Linked DNA regions of Alligator mississippiensis. The protein of the gene in region 2 interacts with the protein of the main gene of each other region in a pairwise test. Links are inferred from orthologs where the notes say so. Each region holds a gene or a part of one and is shown on either strand. Other genes may lie near its edges.

Region 1 (7,812 bases), on a different chromosome or scaffold from region 2:
ATCGGGGCCCCCAAAACTATATCTCGCAGGGGCCCCCAAAAAATTATGGGCTGGCCCAGGTAACGGGGACAGCCAGGATTTCATGTCACCCCTTGTCCTGTCCCATCAAGGGCAAGACGCTGAGCAATATGTTGGGCCCAGTGAAGTGAGTGGGCTATGCCACAAAGTATGCGGCAGAGCTGAGCCCTTCCTTCCCACCAAGTCTGTTTCTAGCCAAAGAGGTTACACAGGGAGTTACCGCAGATGAACTGACGTGTTCAGATCCCACCCTGCCTTAGTTCGCAATGACTTCCTGTAGAGGTGAGCCTTCAGAGAGGCCTGTACTAAAGTCCTGATCAAGTTTATTAATCCTCTGATTAAATTCCAGTTTCCTCACTACTAAGCTGCCTATGTAAAGAATTTCTCATGTTTTGTACTGTATCATGCTGTATTACTACTGCAATAAAAAACATGTCATAAAATGATTCGAGTATTTAATCAGATGCTTCAAGTCCTGGATTAGTTTGAATATTATATTTCACCAGCAAAACATTAAATACTTAGATACATATTCAGTTACTTATAGGGCTGCAAGATTGGATATGGTATGCAGTTTTTCCTTTTCAAAGCCACTTTCTTGCATTGGCTCTTGTTAAGGATTTGTTTAACAACTGAGTCTCAAGACAAAACAAAAAAGGATCTACTAGAGCTAAAGTTTGCACCTCCAGATTCTGATAACTTTTTGCCCGCTGTAGATCATATGATCACCTTTACCTTTTGGCTATTGCTGCTTCTCAGCTGGCTTTTGTCCAAAAAGTTCTGTTCTCTGTTTGATAAGATAAATCACATCTATTGGAATAAATATTCTGAGTGTGGGGTTTATTTTGGGGAGGAAAGGTAGAAGGAGGTGTGGCCTTGGCCCTCTCATGTGTCTGACATCTTTATTGAGCGTTTTAAAAATACTGCTCCTTACAGCATCCAGTACTAATAACACCTCTGGAATGCTGCCCTTTTTTCAGAACTGAGCAGTATGCCAGTGAGGTCCTTTGGGAGTTTAAATGTCCTAGTACTAGACTAGTGCCAAATGTCACTCCCGTAACCTGAAATACATTTTGAGAGCAGGAGGTTAAAGCAGTTGACACAGGAGAAATAAATCACTATGCAGCATATATTCCTAGTCTGCTTTCAAAGGATGAAAGCATTTCCTTAAAACATGGGTTCTCTGACAATTTGTACTACAAACTATCAGTTGATGATAGTTCAGTACATCTCTTGGGTGCAGTCAAATGGAATAGCTGATTCTGTTATAGAATTTAAGTGTTAATATAAAATGCAGCTTTTTGCAAGTGGCAAGGATTTTTTGGGGGGATTATCCTTTACTGGGCTAGTGGCATGGTTGAGGTAGACTTAGACAACAAGCTTTTGATTGCAGTGCATTCTTCAGCTTTTTCAAACTTTTGAATTAAAGATAATTCTGTCTTCTCTAACACTGTATTTGTTCAATTTTCCTTCTAAAAGAAAATAAAGCTGTTTCCTGTTTTAAATGATTTTCCCACTCAAACTGAACTAAGGTTTTGCTATACATATTCAGTTAAAGACATGACTGTAGGTCTTAATGCTTTTTCAAAAATCTTTGGATTTTTTTTAAAGAAAGGGTGTAATCGGGAAATTGAGAAATAATCTGTTGATACATTTTCTTTGATAATAGGTAGGTTTGCTTCTACCCAAGTCTGAATTTACATTGATGGAAGAAAACGCATTTCATATTGGTAGTCTCTGGATTGAACTGAATTAATCCCACCTGCCTTTTACATTTTTATGCATTGTTAATACTGCTATTCTCCTAATTTTAGACAAATTATGCTCCTAAATAATAAAATATTGATGGCTAACTTCATCACTTGCTTTTCAGTTGATTTGTTTTTTACATCAATTACCCATCTATCCACTTTGAGACCCAGAATATATATAACTATATCTTTGAAGAATTAAGTTATGTCTTGCAGAGGTATATTGTACTTGCCAGTGAGTTCTTACTGGTTTAGTACAGAGTATCTAAAAAATAAATATTTCAGTTCTCCCTCTTGTTCTAGTAATATTTTCTTAATTTTTTTATTTTGTATTCTCATGATTAAAGTTAAGCTATACATTTATACAACAACATAGACAAGAATATTCGTTGTTTGTAAATAACATAGATGCAAGAGTAAAATCAGTTAACTTGTAGTGATAAGTAGTTAGATTCCTACACTATGGAAGTGACTTGATATGTTCCTTGCTGGTCTTGCTAAATTCAAAAGCAAATAGTAAAATAAAGCTGCTTTGTAAAAAGAGTGACAATTGGCAGTCAATGAAGGATTAAATACTATCTGGGAAACTACAAAACTGGCTAGGGGATACTAGCTAACATTTTGTTTTTGGCTTTTTGATACTTAAGAAGAAATACTGTTCAATTAACTGATGGATGTACTGGTTACACAGAATACAAACCAAGTCAAAAACGGTGAAATAGCACCTGGAAATATATCAGTTTCTGAAGCATTAAAAGTAGCTTTCAGTAAATGAAATCTGTGGGACACATAGTGGGAATAGGAAAAATAGTAATTTTTTTAACTGGATATCTGTGGGAGATTATGTTGAATATAAAATATTCTTGTATATTTTTGGACCTGCTAGTGTACAATAATTAGAATCACATTTTTAATAGTATGTAGTGAATGTGTTGGCAGTGCATACAGATTACATTCACTCTGGTATTTAAGTTGTTTTGTTGTCTGTGGAGGCATTCTTTCAGAGGTAAATTCGTATATATTGTCCAGTCCCCATGCCTCTGTTTTAAGGGCATGCTAAGATTACTAGGGGAGGGAGGATTTCTTCCTAGAACGTTGCCTATTATCGCAGTGTTATTTGTGTAATATGTAGTGAGTCAACAAGATCGCCTTGCATATAGTGTAGAAAGATACAGTTAGATACAATGGGATTGTAGTTCAGGCTAATTTAAATGGAGCTTTGCTTGCCAGTGCTCTGTGAGCAGAATTGGCTTCCTGAGATTTTTCTGGTAGATGGTAAGAAGGCAGTTCTAACCCTGAAAGCTTATTATTGTTTAGAACCTAATTACCAAGAGACATTAATGTAGCTGAGATCAGCAGAGGGGACATACTGGCAGGGTATTCTTGTAAAACTAATCATGATGGTATCTGTGCAGGGAGGGGAAGTTACCTATAATTTTGCTGCCCAGAGATACCATTCGATTAGTTTTATCCCTTTTCACATTAGAATCAAGCATTGTAACGAGCGTGTTTGGAATATGAGAGACAAATCCCTTAACTGAAGTAGGGCATTCCAGAAAACACTGAGGATGCAGCAGGAAGTTCAGCTCTCCACTGTAACTGAGAGTGCTTTGCAGGAAGCGTTCTGAATTACAATGATCCCTTGGACCATTGGTTCCAAAGGGGAGGGGAATCTAGCTGTGGGTTGGGAGCCTGCAGCTGGTTTCCCCTAGCAGCGGCCCCCCTCTCGCCCATCCTGTCCCTGTATCAGAACGGGAGGGGCGGGGAGGGAGCTCGTTCTAGGGATTTCCTGGCCAGTGCTGGGTGGGGTGGGTGAATTGGACCAGGGTGCTCTAATACACCTGCCCCACCCTCCAGCAGGGGCCAAAAAACCCCCAAACCAAACTCACTCCTCCCTTTCCTTCCTTGCCCTCCCATTCTGAAAACATCTCAAGGCTGGCAGGCAGCACAGACAGAAGCTACAGAAGATGCTTTGTTTTGAAACATCTGCTTTGACCCCTCATGCAATGAGGGGTCAGATTTTCACCCAATCTGCCATTTTTGAAGCAGTCTGCAGCTATGCATTTGTGTTTGGTCACAGCTATAGACAACTTCATGTGGCCACATCAGGCTAAAATTGTCGCTTGTGTCTGTACTCTAAGATAATAGTAGTTAACTCATGAATGTGTCTCTAGATTTGTTTTTCAGAACCCTCAGAATCTTTGAAATAGAACAGTCCCCGCCTGTTTTGCATGATGATGTAAGACCCAAGAATAAACTTCAGAAAGTTCTGCTCACTTGCCAACAGTTGAACTTTACAGCTGGGTTTTGCCTGTTCAGGCCCCAGCTTTTACAAAAGAGCATAAATACATTGTAAGGAAATGGCAGTAACATCTAAGCCAGCGAATTTCAACCAGGGAGCCAGTGTACCCTGGGGTGCCTTGAGATTTTTTTCAGAGGTGTCATGAGATGCCATGCAATGTTAACCTCTGTGGTATGGAAACCTTGTTCAGAAGATAAACCCATAGATTTCAAGTAGGAATTTATAGTGTTAAACACTTTCTCACCTGTTGTGGTCTTGCTGAATTCTTTGCCACAGAACTTTTCTGTAGTCAAAAGTTGAGTGAAATCTAAGAGCTAACATTTTCTGAGGAGTGCCTTGAGTATAAAAAGGTTGAGAACCACCAAATGAAGCAGTTCTCCTGTCCTTATGGTTTTTTTCCTTTGCACTTGTGATAATATCTGAGGTGTGTGTTTGACAGCTTTCTCTGTCTCTTACTGCTTGAACCTGTCATAATGTCTAATACTGTTTATGATATCAGTTTGTTGCCATGGTGATGATTGTGACATCACAAATTCAACATCATAACTTCAGTGTGGTGTTCAGTAGGAGGGAGAGAGAGCTGAGGAGAACCAAGCTTTTGTTTTAAAACACACATACTTCCACTATGAGCAAGTGTGTCAAGAAATACCATGGAAAAATAACTGTAAGGTAATTATCAAGTTGATATGTTTGAAAGTTTCCTCCAAGTTCATAAGTGTTAATTGATGGTTGTGCAATTAGCTAAGCTCCTGTGTAACTTATCAATTGAGGTAAGCTCTATACCATCTAAAATGATGTCACAACACAACCCAGTGGTGATGCCAAATGCATATGGTTTGGTTTGAAATGGGATTAGTCCTGTTTTCAAGTATTAAATCGTTATATTTTGAATTGTGATAAGGGAAGATAGACAAAAACTATAAATAATTATTTTTTTGTCTAGAGGGGGGGAACGTTTGTGTTCAGTAGACAAGATCAGTAAAATTTTTGTGCAGTACCTGTCTGAACACTTCAGATATTTTGCTGGCTTAACTTCTGTATTTCTCCCCTATCTGTCTCTGATACCTAATTTTGCGAATAGATAAAAAATGAAGTCAGAAAAAAAAATCCACAAGTGTAAGCCAAAATCACTCTTTACATAAATTTGTCCATCTGTGTTTTTTGATTGAGGGACCTATAATATTTTTCAGTATTTAACCTAAAGGAACTCAGAAAAGATTAATTTTCTAATAATTTCCTCCTAGATAACCCTTCAAAGTCATCTGACCCTATACTGTATTGAATCTACTTATTATTCACAAGCAGCTATTTAGTTAGTCCTATAAAAGAAGCAAATAATAAAGAATTGTTAGGTGTTTCTACCTTGCCCATAAGGGCTTCTCAAAATACTCTCTTTGCTTTACACCATTAAGTTTCTTTAGCCCCAGCACCCCTCCTTGTTTCCTTGCCCGACACACAGTAAAGGCTTGATGTGGCTCTCCCATCAGAAATAGCATCCAGAAAGAATGGGTTGCCAGAAAATTATTCTTTCTTTTTCTGTACTGTATACTGGAGGTATTGACTATAGTACTTCCTTCCCTGGCCAAGGGACTGAACTTGAGTTCCAATTTATAGGCAGTGCATGGTGATATACTGTGATTCTATGAGACTCTTGGGTTGATCTTTTTGTCAGATACTTTCAAAAGATGAAATTGTGAACAAATGAGGGGGAATTAATAATATTCAAATAAGTATGTTCTTCAGTTCTGATTTCAGTTCCTTGCACTGCATTCTGTATGTATTTATTTTACTTATTTTTTTTAGACAAATGACCATGGAAATGGTTGAATCACAACAAGATGGAAGTGCTGCAGAGTCTGCAGCAGAGAGTGATGCTGTTCGCATGCAAAACCTGCCAGGCCAAAGTCAGATTCCTCCCATAGCTCAGGTAATCTGAAACACAGAAGGATAGGAGAAGCAAACAAAAATAAAGAACATTTAGAATTGTTACCTGTATTGAGATAAATATGACACTTTACTGCTGATCATCATATTCCCCATGTCATACATACATTTCATTTTCTTATAGGAGGGATTCAATTGAATCTCAAAACACATCTTCTGTATTAAGGATGGGACAGAGTAAGGGCCACAGATAATGCTGTACATTATTTTAAGTTCTTCACAAAAATAGCTCTTTGGGAATTTGGGGCTTCTCAGAGTGACACAAGAGTGGAAAGTTATAGGCATCATTTTACCCGTGTTTTTGCAATAGAGCCGTACACTGTTCATGTGATGACCTAAAGAGTTGAGACAGCCAGAAAAGTTAGAGGTAGGTAAGGTACGTGGTGTTCTCTTATGTCCTAGAGTTTGGAGATGTTTTGCAACCCAAAAGCTGGATGAAAATAAATTTTGATTTTTTTACCCCTAGTTTTCTTGCTCAAAATGAGTCGAATTCAACATGTAAGTACTGAGGTGTATATTTCTGTTTCTTCCCTAAGCACCTAAAAGCAGTTTTGGGATTTGTTTAAAGAGATATTTCAAAATATTTTGCTGATAAATAAGGGAGACAGATGATACGATAATGTTCTACATTTGTAATGATGATATATCGTCTTACATCTTAAAATATTCAAGCAAAAGTTATAGTAGAAAATGTTAAAAAGGAATTATACTTCATATTTCAGTATACTGATTGGTATTTATATCCTAATCCTTTAGCATAGTGTAGGACTCCTGAGCCATTTGATTCCGCACCTGTGGCTTTGTCTCAAGTTTTTTTACTCGGGCAGGGTTCGTGAGTTAGTTATTTTGCTCCAATATAATTTTTGTAGCATAATGCTAATGTTGAGAGCGTTATTCCTCTGCTAGTCTCTGGTTTCCCATGGTTTTTGCCAGCTTGCCTACAGACCTGTCCTCCTGTATTTATCAAGTGAATCTCTGTGATAGCGTGCACATATCAGATGTGTAGTAGCCAAAGAATTGATGTCTTAGTTGGTTCTACAGTCATGTGTACATGTTAGTAGTTCTGTCTGAAAGCTCTTCAGTTATCCTGGTCTTCTGTAATTAGTATCAGTGCCTGTTTTGATGTGTATTCGTGTGAATTAGGAACTGAACTGAGATGGCCTACTCAACATAGGTTTCCTTTATAAATATTAGTTGTTATTTACTTTTTGTTGTTACCAGGCGGTGAAAATAATTGTATTCATAGACATGAATCTGAAGTGTAGTTCGGTCATGGAACTTAAGAACTCTTATGCCCACCTCTTTGAAGCTAGTAGTTTCTTCAAGCCTCCTTTGTACTCAAGTGTATCAGGCCCATTCTTTGTGTCCAGTGGGCCCTTAGGTTGTTGTCTATATGACACCAAACCTGTTCATAGTTTCCTTCTACTTTATGGCATGTTAATATGATGCTGAGGGTCTGTCTTTCTCAGCTCAAAGTTTGTTCCAATGTGGCTTACATGTAGCAATTAATGAGGTAGCTGGTATTCAGACATCAGGACATATCATAACATGCTTTCCCATAGCCTTCATCTGAAAATTTTGCAAGATGCTGCTCAAAGCTTAGTCTCTTTTTAGTCTCTTCATTTTCCTCTTAACCCCTCCCCCACCTCTACTCTGTTGTGCCACTTAGTTTGGAGGAATGAGATTGCAGTCTCACTTAATACTCTCTAGACCTTTTACCCAGACTAGACTCATTCTTTTTAAAAGTTCTGTAGTCCTAGCTCACCTACAAGTCTTGCATCAGGTTTTGTAGGGGAT
Region 2 (7,983 bases):
ATTTTTTAAAAGCAAACAGCCCACTTTAAAGCAGCTGTGAAAGCAGCATGAAGGAGAAGGTTAGAAGCAATGTAGATGTTTTGAAGCCTGATCTGAAAACCAATTTAGTTACCCAGTTAAAAGAAAAAAAAAAAAGGGTGGTGCAGAGAGTCGGGAACTAACACTCACAAATCAAAACAGTAAAAAAACCCCAAACCAGCTATTGTAGTATGGTCCTTTTTATTTTTGTTTTCTCTTTCCACTGAAGTGATTTTGCCTAGTTTTCCCATGAAAAAATAAAACCATTTGGCATCAATAATAGTTAAACAAAAAAAAAAGTACCCAAAATGAGCTGAATATAATCTTCAGGCCAATTAAAGGATCACAGCTGGCTTGTTTACAGGACTTACTATGCTTAGTACTTCCATGCTTCAGCTCCAAGCCTTTGATTCCAATGCACTTTATAAATTATTAATAAACTACTCTTCATCATCTCCTTGTGAGACAAATATTACTTTCATTTTACAGAGGAGGATGCTGCAAAATCTTTATCTTACAGATAGGTCATGCAAACAGTGAAATGACTAGGGCAAGATCCTGCTTGAAAGTCTGTGATAAAAGGAGGAAAATACACCAGACTTAATGTAGTAACTACAAATTAAGACTTAACATTACAATCATTTTAAAGCCCTTGGGTGTTTAAAAATGTATGGATGACTACTGATATCACTGAATTATTATTGCATTGGGTAGTATGATCTGGTAAAGAGCTGGTGCACTAAAATGTTCCACTTATTAACTTGATAAGCCAGTAGTTATGGTTTAACAAAGCTAACATTAGCCGTGTTAAACCATATGCTAATGTTAAAATATGGCTAACATTATGCATAATATGAAACTTGCTTGGGTGCACACTTACATGCACCCAAAATAGCAGATAATTCAGCAAGATAATGGATTGTCTACGTTAAGAAAAGCTGAGAAGTGTCCAATGCTTTGTAAGCATCATCTATCATGACAGATGCTATGGATGGCTTAGATTAATACCTTTAAAGCTGAAGAGTGTCTACTTAGCCTGACAAGTTCTTCCGATGGCATAACTGGAGCAAATTCCATTGCAATTTAGCATGCATGTACAACTACGTTTTAACTGATGATAAATTATCCAAAGTGTTTTGTGTACAAATTAATTAACAGGATGAGTAGGTGGCTAGAAGAGATAAGATTGTGAAGGACATTGATATATATTTCATGAGAACTACTGGAAGTACCATGACTAGAATAATGGGGGAACAAAAAGAAACTGAAATAAAAAAGAACCTGACACAGGAAACATTAAAACAGCTTCAGGGCAAAGAGTTGCAAAAGCCAAGCCAGACCAAGAAATACATGGAGGGAAATTTCTGAAGTCAGATTATCAGGAATCAAAGAAAAGCCTTAGCACTGGAAACAATGAGGTGGGACGAGCCACTACTTTGTCAGTCATCTTATAGTTTTATAAAATTGTATACATGAAAGAGCTATGAGAGAGATTTTTTATCATTTTCCATTAGATTTCCTGTATTTTTGAAGCAGCTTTTGTGCAGTGCTGTTCAATTTCCGAAGAATCCTATTAATTTAATTCCTATTATATCAAACCCTCCCTAATGGAAAAAAGTCTATAAGATAAATGGACTGAGATTTTCAAAGCCACATCCACAGATCTGGATGACCACTTCCTAATAAATGCAAATAAAAAAATGGAACATAAGTGGCATTTCATTATTCCTATTTACAAAGCCTGCTTGCAGACGTAACCCCCCCCCAAAGTAAACGGTGCTTTACTTTATACTCTGTGCACCCCTGTGCTGAGTCAAGAGGCATCATGCCCACAAGAGGCATCATGTTAGTTAGTTTTCCATGTCCATCACAGCCAAAGTGTTGGGGGCTCCACAAGAACTATGAAGCATATATAACTAGACTGGAAGAGATTGAATTCTTAGAATTTCTCTATGTGGCACCTCTCAGAAAACTGACAGGGAAATACTCACAAAAAGTAAATTTGACCCCATCTTTTGCTATTTACACAGACTTCAGCTTTTAAAATTAAACCGTAACAGCAGAAAATAAATTGTAAAGAAAGCTGGCTTTACCGGCATGTGGGCAAGAGGACATCTTAAGGGATTTATGATATCTATCAAAAGTATTCCTCAAACTTTGCCTACAAATAACCTTGAGATACCATGGGTCAAAACTGATCCGTCGCTCCTTCAAAAGCCCTGCAATTTTCTCGCTTTCAACTAGTAGAAGTTGGAGCTTCAGAGTGTATAACAAATATGTTGAAAATAGAGAAAGCTATAAAATAGTATACTTCAGAATATATTTGTGATTACAATATAAATTGTGTTTAATAAAACTATTAAGTACGATTTTGGTCTTGTATTCAAAAGGAAAAATGACTCTCTGTTACCTATATGAACATAGCACCAAACATAGTGCTCTCTACTACCTATATGAAATCAGGTAGCACCGATTTTATATTGTATTGTCCTTCAATTATGGATAATTTCCATCTTTTTATCCATAAATGCAAAACTTTTTTTTATGCACCGATACATCTCTTCAACCTAATTGTAATCCTTTAAATTCTAAATCTGTATGAAATTTAAAGGGACATTTGAGAGCTCTCCCCCAATGGTAGATAAATATCCAACACACATTGTCCCAATTCTATGAGAAAACAAACATACATTTTGTTAATTTCCTGAAGAGATGATGGTAAGGTCTAGTTGCTCTTTTAAAAAAAACAAAAAACGATAGTAATTAATAATCTAATTAATAGCATGGATATGATTAAACTTTCAAACAAATGTTGGAGCCTCTTCTTGGTATATCTTAAGAAAACTGTTAAAATTTTCACACAACTGCAGGAAATTTGAAGAAGGTGCATTTTAAAGGAAAAATTCAGGAAAAATCTACTTTTTGATATATATAGCATATGCCTTTATCTTCGTTAAGTCACTGTAATTAATTAAAACAGTCTATTCAGAATCAAAGATGAAATTAGAAGTCATGTGTAAAGAGAAATTCTTGCTTAGCTGTTCATAAACTGTTCATTGGTCACCTGGTACCCTGGCATTTCAAAATGTTCTCAAATAAAACAGGGGTAAGAGAAAGGAGATACAATACTTACATTTGATTTCAAGCTGCTTCTGTTGGTGACCGTGTAGCAAAATAAAGGAAGAAAAATAAGATGTTTTCAGAAACATTCATCAAGTCCAAAAGAAACAGAATTGTTTGCCAAAGCTATTTAAGAATCCCATCAGAATTTGGCTCGGTGGAAGTAGGCTGAGGGTCAGCTCGTTTCCCTTAGACCTTGTGACATGCAGATAGCTGGCTCCCTCAGCTCTGAAATCAAAACAATTCTTTGACATAGTATGCTCACACACTGTAGAAAAATATATATCATGTACAATGTTCTTAAAGGAGCAAGTCTCAGAATGAGTTTTGAGAACTTTTTCAAAGAAAAAGCACTTGGACAAAACCTCTGCTTCCCCCACTCCCACATATCTCTTTTCCCCCCACAAAACAAAACCGAAAAAAACGACCATTGCAAAAGAAACTGAACCTATTCATTCTTTAACCATTGTATATTGACTTTCAGCAGTATTTCCATGGGACTTGATTGGGAAGTGAAACTCAAAACTCCCCACACCCCCTCCTCGATCTTTGGGGTGTTCTGAATTGGATTTGTCAGGAAGGGGCAGAGCAGGATGAGACAAAAACTCCAGTCTTTCAGTACAGAACCACTGGCATTACTATTCCAGTTTGATGTGGATCTTGTATTCAAAAGTTACTGGACAGAGGCAACAACAACCATTCCAGTCACAAGAACTAATGGCTCCTTTCTGTCCTCTCAATGCTCTCATACTTAAAATGTGTAAAGGGCAATTTTCCCAGCATTTGATAAAGTGAACAACCTGAATGGAAAGTCTCCTGCAGACACTGGGCAGCAAAAGTCCCCATTTTGTGTGGGGACTTGGTTGAACTTCACTGGAGGAAAAATTCATCTATTGTGAGGAACCTAGAGGAGAACAAGAGGATCAGGAACCACCAGTATGGATTCACCAGGAATATTGTATCCATTAAAACCAGAGTGAAATTAAACAGTGGTTCAGTTATGGCTTGAACAACTCAACTTTACATCATCAGGCCCTCTGTGCACCACTAATACAACAATATATTGAAGGGCTACATCAGGTTTGGTAGCTAATGTTTCACGGAGCAGGAGCCCTGTTTTATGAGACAGCCACAACAAATACATGCATCTCACCTTTCTTTAAACAAAAGCATTTAGTACATCTTAGATGATGATTAGTTGTCACTTCTAAAGAAATGTTACCAGATACTTAAGATTATACTCCAAAAATTGCCAAGTAAAAATGCAGCAAATTATCATCCAAATCACTTTGTCAGAAACCCAATACCAATCAAAGTAACACACAAAGGGCATGTCTATGTGTTGCCATATGGTGACATTGCTACCATGCGTGAAGTACATGGTTAGATTTTGCTGTTCCATTGCCGTAGCAGCACACTATACTGGGGGAGCAGGTCACTACGGCGATGTAGCTGGCGATCATGTGTAGCCCTGCGTGATCACTACGGTGCCGGAAGGCAATGTGTAGATATACCCATACACTATGTTCTTGCCATGTATAGAATGAAATACCACAGGAAGTAAGTTTCTCACCATGTATAATAACCATTAGTCTTTTTACTAACAGTTAGCAAACAATTCCAATTTTTCCAACATTTTTGTTTTTGTAAGTCATGTTTCCTAGTTTGTAATCATTTTTGTTGAATACTTCTGATCTTCTAATGACGTTTGCTGGACCCTTTTCAGTTTGTTCACATTTTTCTTCAAATGTGGTGCCCAGAACTAGATACAGTACTCAATCAGTGCTGAACAGAATGGAGGAGTCTCTTCCCTTGACTTGCGGGTGGGGTAACATTCCTGTTAACACAACCCAGTATGCTATTGGATTTTTTAGCAAAAAGAACAAGCTTTTGGCTCATATTTAGCTTGCAGTCCACTATAACCACCGTAGTTCTTTTCTGCAGTACTGCAGTCATTCCCCAGTCCCTATTAGCACATTTAATTGTTCTGATTTAAGTGCAAGACTTATAGAATTTCATTTGATTAATTTTGGACCATTTCTCCAATTAATCAAGGACATTCTGAATCCTAATTCTATTTTCCAAAGTGCAAAATTCACTCTCCCCAGCTTGGTGTCACCTGCATATTTACTAAGTGTACATTCAACCCCAGCTTCCAAATCATAAATGAAGATATTGAACAGTACCAGACCCCATAAGAACCCCACTAGATACCTTTACCCAATTAGATCCTGGAAATGTTTTTCAGATTATACTTGGGTGGGGAAAATAGTCTTAAGTATGAGAAAGAAAAACGTCTATTTTCTACAGTCAAACCTTCTAATTATCCGGAAGTTTCAGATGACCAGTGTTTTTGTCTACGACTTTGCTTTAATCAAGGTGACGTTACACCTTAGTCATAAACCGTAATAACAGCATTTAAAAATGCGAGCATTTGCACTTTAAAGCTCATCAATTTTTAAGTGCAGTCCAAGCATCTCTGGGCCATGCAACCTAGCTCATGTTAGCTCCTAGTCTGCTCCATGGAATTCAAACAACCAAGTTACAGTCCTCCAGCATCCCAGGAAGCACTGCTTCCAGCCCCTCTCCCTCCCCCACAGAACAGGGATAAGAGTCCAGGCATCCTGGCTCGTAGCCATACCCCCCCACCCATCAAGCCTCAAGTGGCAAGTCATAGCTGTGCAGGCAAGAAATGATATCTGGGAAGGGGCAGGAGACTGCTGACCGGGTTTTTCTCCACGATCCTCTTCTCTCACTGCAGGGAGAGAGAGGCTGGCCCCAGGGTGGCAGTTCAAGATCAGCCTAAGCCTGAAGATCAGGGTGCGAAAAGGGCCCGGGGAGTGAAGGGGCTGGAAAAGGACTGAGAGAGGGCACGCTGGGAGAGGAAGCGTCGGGGAAAGCGTTGGGGAAATGCCACAGAGGGAAGAGCCAAGGCAGAGAGCCTCAGCGTGGCTTGCTGGGAAGGGGAAGCTGCAGCAGGACGTCAGCCTGGAGAGGGGCTAGCAGCGAGCCAGGGAGCAGCTGGGCAGAGTGGCTGCGAAGATCGGAGGAGCTGGAGGAGATGAGGCAGAGCCAGGAAGCCTCGCATGGAGAGCAGAGCCATTGGCACGCCCCAGTAAAGAGCAGCTGGGCAGCTGCACGTGGCTCACCAGAAAAGCTGAGCCAGCTGTGCACCCTGGTGAAGGATGGCTGGGAAGACACATGTGGCTTGCCCAGAGAGCTGAGCCAGCTGTGCACCCTGGTGAAGAACTGGAGGGAGAAGGGCTCAGAGCTCCAACTGGACGGGCAGCATTGGAGCCCAGAGGTACCCAGTGGGGAAGAGTGGGGACGGAAGCCAGGAGGCAATGCCAGGCCTAGCAGGGAAGCCCCAACTGGACCTGAGGCTAGTCAGAGCTCGGAAGTGATCCATTGGGGTGAGAGTAGACCCTAGGAGGGCTGAAGCCCTAGTGATGAGGCAGAACATGAAGTCCCAAGCAGCATCGAGGCCAGGAGCGGTGGCTGGCTGGGTGGGTACCTGGGGGCACAGCAAGGCACTAAGAATTCCCACTCAGAGTATGGCAAGAACCGATAGCCACAAGTCTATACCAGCGGAGGCTGGTCAATTGTACTTTAAATTAATTCCTAAGTTATTATTGAAAGAATTGCCTAAAGCAAATCTGTGATGAGGTCAGTCACAGGGATGTTAGTCCATGCCAAAGGATGGCTGACAACAGGCCGACAACTTGGGAGCAGCACATACAGGCTCTTCCTGGAAGGGGCTGGGCTGGGATGCGCTTGGGGCAGGCAGCAGTGGCAGTGCTGGGAGGCCAGCTATGGGGGCGGTGGGGGGCTGCAGCCACCCCATTCACCACAGCCTCAACGCCCCCTCCCAGTGCTGCCAGTCACCCCGACCTTCCCTGGGTGCAGGCTGGCCCAGCCCCTGCCAGGAAGACCCCAGAGCAGCTCTGGCCCCAGTCCACAGCTGCAGCCTGCTCTGCCTAGATCTGGGAGGCACATGCCTCCCCACCAGGGTGCACACAGTGGCAGGCGCTGCCCTGCCCCCCGATGAACCATGGCTCCATCCTGAGCCCTGCCACGGCTGTGCAGCCCCAGCCTCACTCCCTCCCTCACTGTGGAGGCATTGATCTACCCCCACCCCCAAGTCTCTTCTTTCCCCCCTTCCCTTCCACCACAACAGACTTACCAGCTGGACACAGCTCTCCATACTGCTGAGCTGTGCTATGTGCTGCACTATGGCTGCACGCATGCATGGGGCATTTATTGGCCACATTATTGGCCACATCAGGCCAATTTCCGATGCAGTCAATTTTCTCTATAACAGTGCCGATCCAATATCGGACCCATGTATTGGTGCACCTCTGCTTCCTTGATTCACATTCTTTTTTTATAAAGTGCAGACAATCCCCTCAAACATTTTGTGGAGAGTGCAGAGTGAGTGGGGTAAGAGTGGAGATTGGGAACAGAACTGCTGCCTTGCAACCCCTTTCTATCATTTAAATAAAGCTATATTTAAAATGCATCTCTCTAGGAAAGTCTTAGAGAATTTATGGAGCAGTAATGAATCCAAAATCCATTCCCAGGTAACTTGATACAAGTGAAAATTCCCTAAGCAGCTGGGGAAAAAAAAGAAGGTATTAAAAAGAAAGCTGCAGCTTTGCCTAGGGAAGCAGTGCTTTGTTAGCAAGTCTGCCAGGAATAAGTCTAGTTGCAGAAGCCACATAGATACAGCTTCTAATCAGACTGCTGGAAAGGATGTAATTCTTATACTTAAAGGTCAAGAAAGTACCTTTTAGTTGAGAACAGGAATGGGGTTACATGTACTGCATCTCTTAGCAAATACTAAGA

Evidence for each region. The genes of interacting proteins can lie anywhere in the genome.
Region 1: the proteins of FHL5 (region 2) and CREM interact in a two-hybrid assay, tested with the Homo sapiens proteins (2 studies listed by BioGRID). The link is inferred for Alligator mississippiensis from reciprocal best matches to the Homo sapiens genes FHL5 and CREM.

What each region holds. Positions count from the first base shown.
Region 1 is NC_081828.1:195,073,431-195,081,242, forward strand, and holds the start of CREM (cAMP-responsive element modulator), read left to right. Parts: upstream 1-4,598; 5' UTR 4,599-4,696; coding exon 4,697-4,740; intron 4,741-5,874; coding exon 5,875-5,998; intron 5,999-7,812.
Region 2 is NC_081824.1:82,615,849-82,623,831, reverse strand, and holds the start of FHL5 (four and a half LIM domains protein 5), read right to left. Parts: upstream 3,348-7,983; 5' UTR 3,152-3,347; intron 1-3,151. UniProt on the Homo sapiens protein: May be involved in the regulation of spermatogenesis. Stimulates CREM transcriptional activity in a phosphorylation-independent manner.